Pelodiscus sinensis: one gene and its partner. Each later gene encodes a partner of the first gene's protein in a complex. Links are inferred from orthologs where the notes say so. Each region holds a gene or a part of one and is shown in the gene's direction. Other genes may lie near its edges. The genes, in order: PIGP and DPM2.

Region 1 (9,200 bases):
AAAGGGGAATAATCACATCTCTGGACCTGCTGGCAATGCTCCTCTTAATGCACCCTAATATGCCATTAGCCTTCTTGGCTACAAGGGCACACGGTTGACTCATATCTAGCTTCTCATCCACTGTAACCCACAGGTCCTTTTCTGCAGAACTACTACTTAGCTGGTTGGTCCCCGTCCTGTAACAATGCTTGGGATTCTTCCGTCCCAAGTGCAGACTCTGCACTTGTCCTTGTTGAACCTCATCAGATTTCTTGTGGCCCAATCCTCCAATTTGTCTAAGTCACTCTGGACCCCATCTCTGCCCTCCAGCGTATCTACCTCTCCCCCTAGCTTAGTGTCATCTGCAAACTTGCTGAGGGTGCAATCCATCCCCTCATCCAGGTCATTAATAAAGATATTGAACAAAACCAGTTCTAGAACCGAACCTTGGGGCACTCCGCTAGAAACCAACCGCCATTCTGACACTGAGCCGTTGATCACTACCCGCTGGGCCCGGCCTTCTACCCATCTTTCTATCCATCTTACCGTCTATTTATCCAATCCACATTCCCTTAACTTGCTGGCAAGAATATTGTGAACTCCTGGCTAAGCTAGTAGTGGTACGGACCCACCACTGACCAGGCTCTGGGCTGGAATCCAGTGAAGAGAGAGGGCCTGGGACCCCCTACCCTGCCCCATTAACTCCTAAGGGGGGCCATCACACTGGACTAGGAATGTTAAAGGTAGTTTAACTAATTCAATAAACGATGGGATTTCCATCCATTATTCAATTAGTCGATAAGGGAGCCTCCACCTTTGAACTGTAGCCAGAGCTCAAAAGCAAAAGCCCAGCAAGGAGCCTGGGGCCAGCAGGTGTCTGGCCCGGTGCTCCTGGCACGCATGAGCCTCTGAAATGTACAAGTGCCCTGCTGGTCCCATGCTCTCTGTGGGGCTTCTGCTTCTGAAATGTACAAGAGTCCTGCTGGCACTCTTGTACATGTCGAAAGCAGAATCACATCAGAACTGGGCCGAGCCCAGACTGCTTCAGTCTGCACTCATGATGTTTCCCACTGGGCCTCTATCTCCCCTACCCCCCACGGAGATGGTGCTGGGGGAAACGGGTAAAGGCAGCAAGGGTTGAGAAGGGACTGGTCATATCACTAGTCAACTATCTGATAAGCTAATGATTACCAGATAGTTGACTAGTCGTTTACATCCCTAACTTTGACTACTGACTTGGGCCAGTTGGCCTTGGTGCCCTGCAATAGGGAGTCTTGCTACTGACTCAGCCACTGGGCCTTATAGCCCTGCTCATGGTGGCTGCTATTGACTGGAACTAAGCCAAGCCAGACTATAGCCACTAAAGGGTGGAGCACATCAGGCGTGGCTTGATAGGCTCGATAGCCTGCCTTCAAGTGGGCCGGGCTTACCACCATGTGACCAGCCCACGGCCCTTTTCTTTCTTTCTTCCCTGGCAAATTCTGGGACCATTAATCCCTTTGAACCGATGTGCTTCTGCCCTATGGGAGCAGGGGAAAGAATGAAGCATATGGTCATACTCTACCTGGGTCTATATTGTGAGTTTACAGGTAGAGCTTACACAATTTCTTGCATCCCCATGGTGAAGTCACCTCTGTTCACAGTTCAAAGTTTTTGCCAGGCAAAAACTTTACATTCCTCCGTTCTCCCTATTTCAAGCACATTAACCTTAGGACATCACTCTTCTTGGCCACAAACTGTGTACTGTCAGTCTCTAAGAAGCATCTGGGTTTCTTATGCCTGAGCTTAGGTATCCTTTGTGACCCAGCCTTTCCTGGGTGTACTGTAGTACTCTGCACCAGCCAGTAATCTCCATTGTTACTCCAGAGACAACGCAACTTGCATGCCCCTTCTGCTCTTAGTACCTACACTACTTCAGTGGGACCACCTGACTTTTCCCTTCAGCATCTGCAACACCCAGGCCTACAAGGACTGCTGAGCTCCCCAGCCAGCCTGTGACATGTGTTCCTTGAGTTTTCACTGCTGCTCCTTCGAACATGCAACATCCTTCCCTCAACATGAGTTTAAGCATCATTCTATATTATCATCTCTAGATGAAGGGAGTGAGCCTCATACCCCACTTCTGTAACCATACCATAATGAGAGCTCTCAAACTAGTGTGCCCCCTGGAAGCCCAGCCATTGCAACTCTGCCTCCATTTCGCTGAGTGAAAGTTTTATGAAGTGCATATTGAACACCTGTATGGGGCCTAGTTTATTCAATCCTATAGGTGAAATATCACATCAAAAGGCCTCCACTTCACCATCTCTAGTAGGCAGGAGCTGAGTCAACATTAGTCAGTCAACCAAGTTGTCCCAAGTCCTTTACCGGTGAGGCATCCATGACATGGAACCTTTTCAAGAATCAGGGGTCTCTTCTCACTAACAGGGGGAAGGGTCCTTTCTCTTAGGTTAAGGCCGAAGTGCAAAGACCATTCCTCAGGACAACATCTAATGTCTTTTTCCTCCAGGGCTTCTGACTGGAAGTCTTCTATAAGAGCCAGATTCTCTAAGGCTGTGTCTATATAGCACCCTTAGCTCACAGTAAGTTACACAATTTGTGCTACGCATTTCGAAATAGCACCAAATTTTGAAATCACTTGCTAATCCGAATTTCCCCTTAACCCTGAGGAACGAGGGTTACCAGGATGTTGGAATAAGTCGCTTGTTATTTCAAAAACTATTTTTAAAATAATGGGCTGCTTCAATCGACGTGGAATAGCTATTTCAGGATACTTCTGGTATCCTGAAATAGATCTGCAGTGTAGATGTACCCTAAGACTAAGAATTCACACTTCCTTCCTTCCAGAAACTCTCCAACTGTGGAGCATTCTTCCCAGGTTTCCTTCAATGGATCCTTCACCCTAGGTCAGCCTGTCAGAGGTAAACAGAGCCCTGATTACTTCTGAGAGACAGTCACCCTGTGGTCACCCATACAGCCTATTCCTAGGGGAATAATCTGTAGTGGTTTATCAGTGTAATTGTTTTAATTAAAGATCACACCAGTATGATTTAAGTTAAAATAAGCAACCTACACCTTGACAGCTATATTAGTACAAAAGCAGCATGTAGACTACCTGAATAAGAACCTCCATTAGGCATCTTGCCAGTCCCTTACATATTAGTGTTTACTTACCAATTCACAGCATGGTTTAATACAACCACGATGAAAAGTGATGCCATTGAAGTCTGATTCCAATGTAGTTTCTTCCATAGTGCATATCCCTGGGGGGGGGTGGGAAAGCCACAAATGCATTAGAAAAGACTCAATCGGAATACTCCTCTAACAGACCTTAGAATGTCTGCAAAATTAAATTATAATCTAATGAAAGGGGAAATGAGCCCTTCAACTGTGAATTTTAGTTTTCCACTCAGGATTGTCCAGAAGTCCAAATAACCAGCACCATTATTCGATGAGTCACAAATCAGGACTAAGCACTGCATAAACACAGAACAAAGACAATCCCTGTTCTAAAAGGCATAAAATCTAAGTATGAAACTAGAGATAAGGGATGACTACACAGATTGGTGGGAAAACATAGGAAACACAGAGACAATACTGGCCAGCATGATAGTCTGTGGCTCTCCTCATACCTGCAGCCTATGAAGATTTTTGTAGGCTTCAGGACTCAACATTTTTCATACTGGATCACAGAGAACAAATCAACACCATAGTCTCTCCATGCCAACTGACCCAAAACATTTTGTTATTTGCATTTTATAGTGCACTTTCTCCACTAATCACAAAAAACTACATAGACTAACAAAAATTCATAAAATGCTTTTGATTTGGTTCCCTGGCATATTGTACCTGTGTTCTTTCTGTCTCTCCATGGACACTTCTTCCAAGTAGCAAGCCTCTACTTGTATTTCTCCAGCCATTCACAGACAGGATCATCAGGTGTTTGCCAAACCTCACTTGCAGCAATAGGGTCCAGTTTGTGGGACTTTGTAACTTTATCACCAAGCTACAAAATCCTTTGTTTGCTTATACAAATGGGTTTAACTATAGACTATTCTCTGAGGCTGTGTCTACGCTGGCGCGATCTTGCGCAAAAGCTTGCTGCCTGTCTACACTGGCTGCATGTTTTGCGCAAGAAAACTGACGTTCTAATGTATAAAATCAGGGCTCCTTGTGTGAGAACTCTTCCGCTTCCGCTCAGGAATAAGCCCTCTTGCACAAAAGCTCTTCCAGAAGAGGCCAGTGTAGACAGGCAACATGAATTTCCTGCGCAAGAAAATATCATTGATCTGAGGAAGTGGGTCTGGCCCACGAAAGCTCATCACTTAATAAGCCATCTTGTTAGTCTTTAAAGTGCTACATAGCTCTTTTATGAACACAATGAGGTCTTCAGTCAGTAACTCTCTCACCTCAGCTCTATGGTTCAATTTCATCCATTCTAAAGACCCTTTGGTTTAGAATTTCAAAGTTCTTTTGTCTAACTTGGCACCCTGTATGCGGTCTGGATTGGTTTGCATGTTTCACCACAGAAACATAACTGTGGTCATCATACAGCAGATTCTAAGCATTGTCTATTTCAGTACAGGACAATTAAGGCAGACAGCCGTCATGTCTTGACCCGGGGGAGCCAAAGCCAGCTCAGGCTGTTTGTAACATTAAGAGAACTAATCTCTCAACCTCATTTCATAGGATACAGGTACATGTCTATGAAGACAAGGGCAGGTCCTATCGGTGGTCTGTCACCCCCGGAAGGGAAGCTCATCCACCCAGCTCTGTAGGAAACGTCTCCCCGCGCTAGTCCGGAGTGAGCCAAGCATGCTCACGGGAACTGCTGGATAAACAGGCGGCCGGGATAGTCTCTACACCACACAGAGTCCTGCCCTGGCTGCTGGGGCTAACAACCGGGCAGGACAGGAGGCGCGCTCCCTAGGCTACAGCGGGGGCTGCTTACATGGCATGGGCGTGCCAAGGACGCGACTCAGACCGAGCCCCGCCTCACGAGACACTTTGCAACGGAGGCGGCGGAAGCTGCTCGGGCAGGACCCCCCGGCCCGCCCGCCCGGCCACGCCTTCCTCCGGGCGCGCCCGCTGCCTTCGCCACAAGCTCCGGGCCGGGGCAGAGGAAACGGGCGGGCCGGGGCTGGGCGTCCCTAGCAAAAAGCCCCACGGGCGGCGAGAACCTGTGACCCGCCGGAAGTGTGTGAAGCTGAGAACAACCCGCCCGCCCGGCACATGAGAGGCGGGGATACCGCGCGAGCGCACCAACGATCGTTCAACCGACACCCCGCAACTCACCGGGTCGGACAGCGCGCGCTTCTTGCAGGGGGCGAGCGGCCCGTCCAGCGCTACCACAAGCAAGGCGCAGCAGAGCCTCAGGCAAAGCAGCCCCGCCCCCACGCACGCATCCGCCCCAGCGCTTCGATTGGCTGCTTGCCCTCTGACGCAGAGATTTCAGCACGGGGGTGAGGGCTTGCGGCGTCTGCGCGAGAGACCCAGGCAGGAGCGGTGGGTTCCCCACTCTCCTTGTGTTGGCAAACACTGCGCAGGCGGGGAAGTGGCGACCACGGCTTCTCTTGACGTCATGCACAGGCGACGCCTTCGGGCGCGCGTCTCCGTGCGTCGTGTCGGCACGTCAGGCGGAGGAGAAGCGGCGCGGGGGATGTGCCGCGGGCAGGGCAGGGAGCCCCTCCCCCTCCCAGCTGCGTCGCCTGGCTGCAGGGCGGGGGGCGGCGCTTCGCCCCTTGGGTGTCACGTGGCTGCTGTGAGCCCGGCGCTTTTCATGGGGAGGGTCCGCGGGTGGGGAGTTCGCGTCCCCTGAGCGAGCCGGTGGCGGGCGGGGACTGGCCCAGGCAGGGGCGGGGGACCTGAGGCTGGGGAGCTGGCTGCGGCCCAGAGGCTCAGGGCTGCTCCTCAGCGCTGGGGAGCCGTGGGGCTGGAGCACGCAGATCTGCTAGCCTGGGCTCTGGTGGGAGGGGGCTGTGGCGAGTGGCTTTCTCCTTCTTAGGGCCACGTCAGTGTGGTGGGGGGGGGGATGCTTCTCACTTGTGTGCAGATTATCCTTGACTGATTTTTCTTTGGGTCAGCAGGCCCTGTCCCAAAAAAGGGTCCCCACCCCCAACGCTTTGTACAGCACTGCTGCTGCTCTGCCCCAGTGGGAAGAGAGTTGCTCTGTGGTTGGATTTTCCCCAGGCCTTGCCTAGTTCACCCATCTCTGCATTTGCGGTGGCAGGTGCTCTGGAAAGCACTAGGGCTTGGCACCCACCCACAGGCTGCACTCTGCCTGCACTGCCCCAAAGTGGAGCAAGCCACCTTTTGGGTGCCTAGTTCTGCTACAAGGCCTTGCATGGTTCTTTTTCCCCACAGGGGCAGGCTGTGCCCACCAGTGAGATCAGTGCTAAAAGGAATGGGAAATACTGGTTTTCGCAAGCCCTCCTGGTGTCACCATGCCAGGAATTTGCAAATCTAGTTAAAAAGCAGGCTCCTTTGTCAGGAGCCGTGGCAACACGTGGCCCTGGAGTATGCTAGCGCTCACGTTGCACTGGGAACAAAGCTATTTAAGTCCCTTTCCCGATAGCCACAAAGAAGATGAAAGTGAGAGGATAACATATTCATGGGCTTCTCAATATCTTGGAAACCTGTTTTAAAAAAAGATGATGTGTTCCTGACAGCTTCTTGTAATTAATTTCTTTTTCTCAGTTAAAAAGAAGACACTAGCATGGTCGAAAACTCTCCAGCCCCATTGCCTGAAAGAGCAATATATGGGTTTGTTCTTTTCTTAGGCTCCCAGTTTGGCTTTAGTAAGTATGCTTACTTTCTAAGTAAAGTGCTATATGTATTTGCTGTACTAAACAGGTGCCTCTAGTAAGGTGTAGAAGTTTTTAAAAAGAATGTTTACATTAATACTTCTCATGTAATAAAATTATATTACCTGTTATGAAAAACTGAATTATTTTTTGCAATATTGTAACCTTGTTGAGCCCAGGATACTGTAGAGACAAGATGTTGAGGTAATATCTTTTATTTAACCAACTCTTGTTAGTGAAATAGATAAACTTTAGTGCTCTGTGAGCAGGACCATCCCTCCAAATTCATGAAATATGCAGCAGTAGGCTGCATATCGGATCCAGGGACCAGCCCCTCATCCCACTCACCGGGCGGTGACAAGCAGCAAGGGCCGGAGGACTCAACAGGAGCAGCAAGCGGCTGTGCCTGGAGCCTTTCATTCGCTCCCCAGAGGCTTCAGGTGAGCCGCCTTGCAGTGCTCCTGTACCCCTCAGCTTCTGCCCCCCTGCAGAACTCCTCCCTGCCCTCTCCCCCTCCATTCTGAGGAGGGATGCAGGTGCTGGGTTGCTTACAGCACCAGCATTGCTAGGGAGTGCCCTGTCTATAAGCTCAGAAGCAACTCTTGTTCACCAATAGAAATTGGTCCAGTAAAAGATGTGACCTCACTTCCTTGTTCCTCTGAACTATTAAAACATTTTGCAACTTTGGGGCTAATGACAGACAGCACAGCCCTAGTGTTTACTGCCCTCAGTCCCCACAGTACATCAGCCAGCCTTAACTAGGGCTGTGTGCTGGGAAATTCAGGAGGGAGCCAGGGCGGAGCCATGGCAGACAGTTGGCTTGCCCAAGTCTATAATATTTACCACCCATGAGTCCAAGTAGTCAGTTCTCTTGCATTCTTTTGGATTTTTGTTCTCCGTGATACTGCTGCTAGTGGCCGTGTAGCTGAGTGTGCCGAGGGAACGGCTATATTCATGGACAGGTGGTAGTATATAGGCATAGTAAGGCTCAGCCTTCCCTGCTGCCCACCTGCCATTGGATTCCTGGACTGCAGTGGTTCAGCCACTCCACCATCACCACCACCTTTCTGGGGGTTTTCACAGCATCCTACCTACTCTTGGGAAGGAGAGTGAGAACTAAGACATGGCAAGCCATTGGATGGATGGCCGGAGGGCATCTGGCAGGGAAGTGAGGCAGCTTGTCCAGGGTTGCTGGGAGGGATGATGCTCAAGAGACCAGCCTGGCATTTGGGGAAGTTTGTCTGGGTGGGAGGGGGCTTCAGGGAGGCTAGCAGCGCACCCAGCACAGTGCAGGTGGGAGGCACTGGCTCAGACAAAGGGGGGCAAGCTGCAGGGCTGATGGCTTGGCCTATGACCAGGAGAGGGAGGTCCAGTGCTAGGGATGGACAGGCAGCTCGGCCTCATTTGGTTTGGGCCAGCAGGTGAGGGCTCCCCTTGTTGCAGGGGAGGCCTTCAGGGCTCCTCCTGTTAAGAGAGTGGGTGTTTTGGGGTACATCTAGACTACATGCCTCTGTCGCCAGAGGCATGTATATTAAGCTACCAGGCATAGGAAAATGAAGCGACGATTTAAATAATCGCCGCTTCATTTAAATTTACATGGCTGCCGCGCTGAGCCGATCAGCTGTTTGTCGGCTCAGCGCGGTAGTCTGGACGCGCGGGTGTCGACATCAAAGGCATTTGTCGACCACCCAGGTATGCCTCCTGGGATGCAGTTTACCTGGGTGGTCGACAAATGCCTTTGATGTTGACACCCGCGCGTCCAGACTATCGCGCTGAGCTGACAAACAGCTGATTGGCTCAGTGTGGCAGCCATGTAAATTTAAATGAAGCAGCGATTATTTAAATCGCCGCTTCATTTTCCTATGCCTGGTAGCCTAATCTACATGCCTCTGGTGACAGAGGCATGTAGTCTAGACGTACCCTAAGTGTGTGGGAGACAGGGCCTCAGGCAGAACAGGTGGGGCCAGCAGGCTAGCCTCCCCAATGTGGGCGGTTCAGCCTCTGCCCATAGCTATATTTCAGGGAATTAGTTGAAAACCTTTCAAGTAGGCTAAGTGTACAGCATATCTTATGTACACAGTTGGCACTCTGACTTTAACTTCAGTTAAAGGTACAAAACAAATTCTGAAAATGGGCTACTGATAGTCAAAGGATTCTGGGCAAGAGCAGTGAAGACTGACATAAGAATCACATCAGTTTCACTGCTGCTGTTTTCAGCAATAATGCGCTTCTGCAGAGGCAGGTGCTGGAGATACTCACAGGGTAAGGAATGCAGTAGCAGAGCCCATACACCCTTTGAGCAAGTATGAAGCTTTTGGGTTGAGAAAACTAACTAGAAAATGTGTGCTCCTTCTCTTCCAACAGTTAGAGGATAGTTTAGGGACTGCAAATTTAGCACATCAAAGACTGATATGAAAA
Region 2 (9,438 bases), on another chromosome or scaffold:
TTTCCTTCTCTGGGAGTTTTATGTAGCTCACAATATTCACCTGGTGGCCACCTACCTCCCCTGGGCTCAGAATGAGCTGGTGGATCACCTCAGCAGGTCCTTCCAGGGGTACAAAAGGTCCAGTTGGGGAAACCCTCACCTGTGGAAAATGGAGAGGGTTACATCTGCCCTCAGAGACCAGTTTGCCACCCATGTCAACAGGAAATGTCCCTGGTTTTGCTTTCTGTACAGGCACAGCCCGGGGTCTCTGGGACATGTGTTGACGATCCTCTGGCCTCGGGGCCTTTTCCCCCCTTCCCACTGATCCCCAGAGTAATCCTCAGGGTCAGGGAATTCCAGGACTCAGTGACTCTGACAGCCCAGGCCTGGCCTCGTCAGCATTAGTTCCCAGACCTCCTCGCCCTTTCAGTGGAGTGGCCTCTGGCCCTCCCCCTGCATCTGGACCTGATCTTGCAGGAGTTCGGCAGACTCCGGCATCTGAACCTCCTCTCCCTGCACCTCATGGCATGGAAGCTCCATGGCTAATGGCCTCAGAGAGGCAGTGTTTGGTGTAGGTCCAGGCAGTCCTCTTAGAACGCTTCCAGCTCCCTACTCGGTCTTCCTACCTGGCAAAGTGGAAACCGTTTGTGATCTGGTCAGTAATAAGGGGGTCCCCCCTTTGGAGGCCCCGGTCCCAGTTATCTTAGACTACCTCCTGGGGCTCAGGCTCCAGGGCCTGACTCCTTCCTCCATGCAAGTGCACCTAGCAGCCATCTTGGCTTTCCACTCTGGCTCGGGGGGAAGGACCGTTTTCTCAGACCCCATAGTGCACTGGTTCCTCAAGGGTTTAGACAGGGCTTACCCTCAGGTGTGTGAGCCCGTGCCCTCCTGGGACCTAAATGTAATGCTCTCGAGGCTTATGGGTCCTCCCTTTGAACCACTGGCCACATGTTTCCTTCTACACCTGTTCTGGAAGGTGTCTTTCCTGGTGGCCATTACCTCAGCCAGGAAAGTATCAGAACTCAGGGCCCTAGTAGTGGACCCCCCATATACAGTCGTCTTTAAGGATAAGGTCAGGCTATGCCCCCACCCAGCTTTTTTGTCCAAGGTGGTGTCTGTCTTGCTCACCAGGATATATTTCTCCCTGTGTTTTACCCTAAGCCCCATAGCTCTGGGATGGAACAGGCTTTACACACACTTGATGTGAGGCATGCTTTAGCTTTTTATTTAGAGAAGTCCAAGCCCTTCCGCAAGTCCCCCCAACTGTTTATAGCATTAGCTGATAGGATGAAGGGTCAGCCAGTGTCGGCTCAGAGTATTTCATCCTGGATCTCAGATTGCATCAAGACATGTTGCGAGCTAGCGCGGGTTCCGGCCCTGCCCATTAGAGTGCACTCCACGAGAGCGCAAGCCTCTTCCATAGCTTTTGTGTCCCAGGTGCCCATCGTGGTGATTTGCAGGACAGCCACCTGGTCCTCAGTGCACACTTTTGCAGATCATTATACCATCACTCAGCTCGCCAGGGAGGATGCTGTTGTAGGTAGGGCTATGGCCCCAGCCCACTCAGAAGAGTCTTCATCTGTGTTCATCTCTCAGTCAAATCCTAACACAACCTCATCTCCCTTCTCTTGGCTGGTTCCACCCCAGGCAGCCATCCATCACTCTAGCCATCCAGCCTGCAGGCTGGATCCGGACTGCCAGGGTTAGTCCCTAGTGGGTCCCCACTGCTATATTTACCTGCACCTCCACTGGTACTAGCGATTGCAGCTCCCGTTGGCTGGGAATGTCAATCCACAGCCAATGAGAGCTGTGATCACCAGTACCTACAAAGGTGCAGGTAATATAGCGGCAGCGGCCTGCCAGGGACTAACCCTGCTCTAGGAGGAGGTAGCTAGGTGAAGCCATTTCCCTGACCCTTAGTCATACTTCTATCCAGTCCCAGTAGGCAGCCAGTGACTCCTCAGAGCAGTGGACACAGTGTGGAGGGCTCTGTTAGCCGTCCTCTTCTGGATCTCTCCCTTTGAGCCTGTCTCTGCCCTCTGGTCATTTTTTGGCCCCTGCAAATGTTTACATGAAGGGTTCTCTCTTCTCTGGCCTTTCCTTTGTCAGGGGGGGTGGGCCCTTTGAGAGACATCTGCAACCCACGGCCTCGGGTCGACAGACTTAGGGCTTGTCTGTGTTGACATGCTATAGCTGCACCACTTCAGTTTACACGCTACCTATGCTGATAGGAGGGCATCTCCTATCACTGTAGTTAATCCACCTCCCTGAGAGGCAATAGCTAGGTCTAGGGAAAAACCTAGTGCTGTCTGCACTCAGAGTTAGGTCAGTGTAGCTCGGTCTCTCAGGGGGTTGGATTTTTCACGCCCCTGAGGGACTCAGCTATGCCAATGTACGTTTCCAGAGTGACTCCTCCTTTCCCCTTTGGTGTTTCATTCAATACCTTTTCTTCTCTTTTTTTTCCCCACACGCCATCCCACAACGCTGGGTCTCTCCCACTCATCCCCAGTTTTGCCAGAATCCAGGCCCCAGTACTGCTGTTGAGACAGTGGGGGAAACCAGGGCTCCTGGAGCAAGTCCAGTATGTAGCCTCCAACAGCATCATGTGGGCTCAATGAGTACAGCTCTGCCAGGAACAGGGCCTCTCTCTAGTCTCCCAGGGGGTCTCTCTGAGGGAAAAAGGCAATTCAGGGACTGCTGTATGTATGGGGGTGGGGTGGATGGGCTTTTCTTGAGGGGAGAATATGGGACTGGCCTGTTAATAGATCATTGTCAGTTCCACTCTCTTTCATTTGATCAGAGGCTGTGTGTAAACTGATCACTGGACCAGTCCTGAAAACAGGATCTTCCGGGGCAGCTGCTCCCCCTAGTGCCAGGTGATCTGCACAGCCATAACATTACAGAGCCAGAGTGGTGCTTTGCAGAGGGGCTGCCTATGCTGCAGTGATTGTGCAGATCTAGCCAAGTTGATGGAAGTTGCTGTGTCTCCGCTATGCTGGACCAGGGTGGTTTTTGCCCTAGATCACCTAGATTGACCTTTGAAATGAAGCCTAACCTGAGGCTTGGTATGTACTATAAAGGAAAAATCTTCGGTCAGTCCAGCCCTCCTGTGAGAGAGAAAACCCACTCCAAAGTCACCTCTCACTTGTCAGTTCCTATGGTTTCCTGTTCCTTGCTCTCTGGTACCCAGCTGCCAGAGCTGAATCCCCAACCAGGTGGGATTGAAGCAGAACTTTTGAGGTGAAGGTGCTTCCCCTTGCTGCTTCTGTACAGAAATTGGGAGGAGTTGGGGCTGAGAGATCTAGTAACTGAACAGAAAGTAAAGGGCTAGTGCACCTGCTAACCAGATGAGTATGATGCAGCCATGTCCTCAGTCTGGCAGCTGTAGGGGAAGACACTCTGGATAAAATCTACAACATCTGTGGGTTGACAGGGTCTGAGGCAGGAGAGGCATCATGCAGGGAGTTTTAATTGAAATGAGTCAGAGTCTTCAGGGGTCTGTAGGACAGGCCTGGAAACAATCAGAGCAGGTGCCCAGACCTCCAGGACAACCTTTTCCCCTGATACAGCCCAGAGTGGCCCTCCCCTTCTCCTTGGAGGCCCAAGTACCTCCTCCATATCTATAAACTGGTCTCGGTCATTCCCATCCCAAGTTTGGATGACTTGGGCCCCAATAAGTGGAGGTGGTTCTCTTGGCTGAGGGAACCCGAATTGACAGCCTTTCCATGGTGGGGCTGAATTCTGTACAGGAAGCTGTCAGTGTCTGCAGTGAATGTGACACCACGCTTTAAATATGGAATAAGTGATCACCCATGTGACTAATTATACTGGTATAATTACACTGGTAGATTTCCCCATGTAGACAAACAAGCCCTAAAATAGAGTATTTAAAGAGCCTAAGTCACTGCTGGCTTAGTAGGTGATAATTAGGGAAGAGTTAAAGTTCAGTGCTCTGCCCCCTGGAGAAGGGACCCAGTGCCCTGCTGCAGTTCTCTTTCTAGGCAAGGGGAGGATCATAATTTCCCAGGGCTTCCTCCTTCCCTTTGGAGTTGTCTAATTGTACAAACACTGAAGAGGAAGGTTTGTTTTTTGGGGGGAAGGCTCTTTCTGTTGGAATTAGAAAGAAAACCCTTGCTAGAACCAGAGTCGTAGCTTGATGTTTGATAAAATCATCCATGGAAAGATCCATGTACCCCTGTGGATCTGAAGCCACATCCACAAACTTGCAGGGATCTACTGGTGGCGGTTACATGGTGCCCAAAGCTTTTGTGACAGACACACCCAACGCTCTGCTCTAGGGTTGCCAGGTGTCTGGTATTGAACTGGATGGTCAGGTATTTGTGCCTTCTGTCCAGTAAAGAAATTGAGAAAATACCAGACACATAAAATGTCTGGTATTTTCTGCTTTTCCTGGCTTGGTGCCCAATGTAGGGGTTGCCCAATGGTTTAACAAAAAATACCGAACACCCTGGGGGGAGACCAAAGTTGTTGGGGGGAAAAAAAGGGTGCTGTGCCTTTAAATGGCCCCACTCTCCTCATTCGCCCACCCCACTAGACACGCAGGTGCATATTGTCCCTGTCAGGCTTCCGTCTGAGGGAAATAGGAAATATTGGACACTTCACATGTCCGGTATTTTCTGTTTTTTTTACTGGACGGGGAGACCTGAATAACGGACAGTCTGGGCGAAAACTGGACACCTGGCAACCCTGGGGATGGGGGGAGTGACCCACCAATTAAAGGGGCTGCGACTGCATTTTGGTGGCCCGATGTGCTTTTTTTTTTTTTTTTGGTCAACAAAAAATTCCCGGTGCTTTTTTTGGGAGGGGAGGGGGTCCGGCCCTGGTTGCCTGCTAAACCATCTGGCAACCCTATTCTGCCCAGCACTGTCTCCAGAGTCTTGGAAAAAGATACGCCTACATCCCCCATGATGCTCTGGGAGAGGCGCCACGTGGCGCGTACATCTCCTATGATGCCCTGGGAGAGGTGCCGCGTGGAGCCTACATCTCCCATGATGCCTTGGGAAGGCGTTCCTTAGAGCCTGCATCCCCCATAATGCAATTGTGCCAAGACAACACCCGGGATGCTACGAGATCTAAGTGCTGGTCACTGATTGGCTTGGGTCTCCCGGAAGTAGCTGAGCCGGCTGGGGGGGGGGCTGCGGTGGAGAAAGTGGCCGCGCTCGGTGGGGACCATGGTGAGTGGGGGGGATGGTGAGTCCCGTCTGCCCCCCGGGAGAGGAGCTTGGTATGAACTGGTTCCCTCTCAGCTGAGCGGCAGCGGGCACGGGGAGGGGCGCGAAGGGGTTAATTCCGCCCGGTCCGATGGGGGAGGGGCGCGAAGGGGTTAATTCCGCCCGGTCCGATGGGGGAGGGGCGCGAAGGGGTTAAACCCCCCCCCACACACACACCCCGGTCCGATGGGGGAGGAGCGCGAAGGGGTTAACCCCCCCCAAACACACACACCCCGGTCCGATGGGGGAGGGGCGCGAAGGGGTTAACACCCTCCCCCCCCACACACACACCCCGGTCCGATGGGGCCGGGCGAGCATGAGTGTGGAGTAGACTGAGGCTGGCTCCCCCCTGGGGCCTTCCCCGGGGCTACGGGTGCTGGGCTGCTGGAGCTGCAGCGTTGATGGGAAGCTGTAAAACCCAAGCCCTGGGCACTTCGGACCCAGACGCTCCCATGTGCTGGCTTAGCCGGTGTCCAGACTAGGTTCCCACCCTGGCAGTTGCATTCCGCTTGCGCACCATGGAACCAGCCCCTTCCATGCCCTTCACCCACTGGCTCCTGTCCCCGTCACTTCTTGCCTTTAAAAGCAAAGTTTTATAATGCAGAATGACATCCATGTTCCACCCCAGAGGCGGCTGCCTTTTAGTGATGAAGTACATTGGGATTCTCATAGGTGAACGTGTTGTTGATCAAATCAGATGATTATATTGGCCTCACAATGAAGCTGTGTTAATGTTATGTTGAGGAATTTAAGCATACATGCAAGATGTTAAGATTCTCAAAATAAGTTGAATTCAGGAGTGTGTTGGCCAGCCAGGTTGTAATTACATGAATTAGAATTGGGCCAGGATAGGTAAGTGAACATTCCTAATATTTCAGCAAGTGCCTTGGCTCATTAGTAATCTCAGGAGTTTGGTTTTCTGTATATCTTTAAAAAAAGATATTCCCAGTAGCACAGTGCCTCTTTACACCCTTCTGGATCAAAGTCAGTGCTGATTGTAGTGAATCCTCACCCACCACTTGTGACAGCTTCTTGGGTTTTCCTACAACAAGGGTTTTCAAACTTCATGGCACCATGACCCACTTCTGACAACAAAAAATACTGCACAACCCTAGGATCAGGGACTAGGGACGTTAAATATTGGTTAACTGAATAGTCGATTAACCTCATGAATTCTTATCCGTTAGTCAACTGTTCTATAATAGAACAAGGTCTGCAGCCAGTGCGCTCTGTTCCCACTCCTGACGAGTCCCCTGCCACTCCGTGCTGCTGCCTCTGTTTAAAAACCAGCTCCCCTTGCAGACCGGCTGCTTGTCACCCCCCACAGTGTGCAGCAGCCCCTATCTGGGGGGAGGAGGGAGGCTGAGCTCCTAGACCCCACGTGAGCTGGAACTGAGCCAGGCTGTTTGCCCATCTGGTTCCTAATACACCTCAAATGTAGAGCTGCAGCAGGAATAGGTGCCATACCTGGTGTGAATCAGGACTGAGTTGGACTACTGGCCATCCTGCTAAAAAATTTGCTGGCAAAGGAGAGGGGGGGAAATGAGTGTAGTCTATAGCATTTTGCTTATCAGTTAGTTGGTTAATCTACTACTATTACATCCCTAGTGGGGACTGATGCCTGAATCTTCCTGAGCCCAACTGCCCTGGGTGGGAGGGCCAAAGCCAAGCCTCCAATGCCCTAGGCTGAAGGGAGGGGGACAAAGCTCAAGCCTCAGGCAGGGAGCTGTAATCTGAGAACTACTGCCCAAGGTTGAAGCTCTTGGGTTTCTGCTGCAGCTCTGGGTGGTGGGGCTGGTGCGTTGGTTTGGGCCCCAGCAAGTCAAAGCCAGTCCTGTTGACCTAATTAAAACCAGGTCATAACCCACAGTCTGAGAACTGCTGTCCTAGAAGGTCTCCTAACTGACTTGCTCTGACTCTACTTAGCTTGAGGTTTCTAGGATCATAGCACAGGGGGACATCGTTGCAAGCTCTGTGGATGAGTAACGGCTTCAATACAAGTGAGTGGATCACACCTTGGTGAGCATCTCACAAAGCATAAGAAATTGTCTCTATTTCAGAGCAAGAGGGGATGAGTTTTATCAATGAGGCATTTAAGGCAAATTATTTGTCCAAGTATTTTTTCTTTGTTGGCTTTTGTTTCAAAACTACATCTTCATGGCCAGGAGTTGAGGCTTTGTTTACACTGGAAAGTTTAAAGCACAGCCGCAGCAGCACTTGAATGCCGCAGTGTGGTCACTACAAGTGTGCTGGGACAGAGGTCTCCCAGCTCTCTAGGTAGACCACCTTCACCAGAGGAGTAATTAACTGCTCTGGGAGCATGGCTTCTAGCACTGTAGCTAAGTTTACAGCATTGTAAGGTGCTGTGTTCAGGGGGTTGTTTTTTCACACCCGTGAGCCAGAAAGTTGAAGTGCGGTAAAGTGGCAGTGTAGACTTAGCCTGAGTAAATACTGCAACATAGAAAGGACACCTATACGTTTATCATATATTTGTGCTACCATAATACATAGGACTGCTTGTTATGGACCAGACCCCATTGTACTAGGTGCTGTAATATTCACTTGTATTTTAAATGTCATTGTGCCATTTGTACTCTCTATAATTCAGTTGGAGGAGCTGAATTGTTTTGACTTGTTACTTTTGTATTCCAGGCCACAGCAATGGACCAGCTGGTCGGATTTGGCTTGGTAGCCTTTAGCCTTGTTCTTTTTGTTTACTACACCATCTGGATTATTATACTGGTATGGATTCCTGCATGCACTCTGGTTATTGCAGTCTCAATGGCTTCACTGTTGTGTTTCTTTTAGACTTTTGTTAGACCTGTTTGTCTAGCTTTATGCTCACTGTAAAACCGTTACTATAAACTCCTTCTTGCTCACTCATCCCTTCAAACACTTGATCTTCTGAACCTTGACCAAAGCTGAACCCCAAAGAATTATCTGTATCAGTGTGCTTTGATGGGGTAGGTGTGGTGATCTGAATAAAGTTATAACTGCAGTGTTCCACCCCTTTGAACCTTCACCCAAAACTCAAACTCAGAATAATTCTGGGGTTTTCAAAAAAGTCTCCTTAGTGTTCACTTCCATGCTGTGGGCAGAACAGTCTTGCTCTTGCTACATTTCAAAGGCAAAAGTGCCACCAGTTCCCCGCTGCACCCCTGTCCCCTCTTCCCATGGAGATTGTGCTGGGGGGAACCAGGTTTTAAGCCGGTTCCCCCCAGCACCGTATCCTGCTCCCCACCCCTTGCTGACTCTCTCTGATAGCGGCAGCAAGGGGGGAGGGGAAGCTACTAGTTGAGTCACTAGTCAACTATCCGATAAGGATTTGCTTATCGGATGGTCTACTAGTAGACTAGTTGCTTACATCCCTGGTTGGTATGTTCCTGTTATTTCTAGTGAGTGTGTTGGTACAGGTTGCACCTCTGAAAACCAGCATTCTCTGGTCCCGCAATATCTGTGGTCCAGCAAGACAGCAGATGCTCCTGGACCAGAGAGCTCGGGAGCTTAATGGAAAGAGGGCCAGCAGCCCCCCGGGGACAATGGGACCAGAGGACCCCACAGCAGTGCTGGGCCAGGAACTAAAGAATCCTGGCAGCCTGCGGCAGTGCGGAACCAGGCACTGGGGAATTTTAGTCGCCCGCAGCAGCGCGCGGTTGAGGGCTGGAGAAGCCTGGCTCCCTGTGGCAGCATGGAGCTGGAGAGCCCTGACAGCCAGCAGCTGTGCGGGGTCAGGAACCAGAGAAGTCCAGCTGCTGGTTGCAGCGCAGGGCTGGGGAAATGTGACCGCATGTGCCAGCGCCAGAAAACCCTGGCCACCAAAGGCAGCCTGGGGCTGGTGCCGGCAGCAGCAAAGAGGGTAGATGGGGCCAGCTAACTCGGGGCTCATGGAAGGGCAGACTTCCCCTGGTCCAGCAAATTCTGTCGATCCCCTGCCAGACCAGGAGGTCCAACCTGTACCAAGATGTCTCCTAATGAGGTGTTCTGTTACCATCCTTCTGGACTGTGTTAATGGCTGGTGCCTACTTTCTCTTAGATATGAGTGTTTCTGCAATATCAGTCCTGTTCTTGTCAAGTTCTGTGAGCAGGGCCTGCCACTTGCTCACAACTTAACTTTGCTTGACCATTGTTGCCTAGGCCCCACACCAAGCCTTTGATGGGCTACGTTTTAGGCCCTCTTCTTATTACACATGTCTCATCTGTTTCCTGATTCTCAAGGGAAGTGGCAGAA

What was found.
Region 2: PIGP (region 1) and DPM2 share a complex: the UniProt entries of both Homo sapiens proteins name them as parts of the glycosylphosphatidylinositol-N-acetylglucosaminyltransferase (GPI-GnT) complex. The link is inferred for Pelodiscus sinensis from reciprocal best matches to the Homo sapiens genes PIGP and DPM2.

The regions. Positions count from the first base shown.
Region 1 is NC_134711.1:186,269,597-186,278,796, reverse strand, and holds the start of PIGP (phosphatidylinositol N-acetylglucosaminyltransferase subunit P), read left to right. Parts: upstream 1-5,301; 5' UTR 5,302-5,441; exon of another isoform or gene 5,442-5,484; intron 5,485-5,560; exon of another isoform or gene 5,561-5,740; intron 5,741-6,065; exon of another isoform or gene 6,066-6,201; intron 6,202-6,675; 5' UTR 6,676-6,694; coding exon 6,695-6,776; intron 6,777-9,200. Other genes in the region: E3 ubiquitin-protein ligase TTC3, read right to left, coding at 3,154-3,231. UniProt on the Homo sapiens protein: Part of the glycosylphosphatidylinositol-N-acetylglucosaminyltransferase (GPI-GnT) complex that catalyzes the transfer of N-acetylglucosamine from UDP-N-acetylglucosamine to phosphatidylinositol and participates in the first step of GPI biosynthesis.
Region 2 is NC_134732.1:10,558,575-10,568,012, forward strand, and holds the start of DPM2 (dolichol phosphate-mannose biosynthesis regulatory protein), read left to right. Parts: upstream 1-5,035; 5' UTR 5,036-5,171; coding exon 5,172-5,174; intron 5,175-7,862; coding exon 7,863-7,952; intron 7,953-9,438. UniProt on the Homo sapiens protein: Regulates the biosynthesis of dolichol phosphate-mannose. Regulatory subunit of the dolichol-phosphate mannose (DPM) synthase complex; essential for the ER localization and stable expression of DPM1.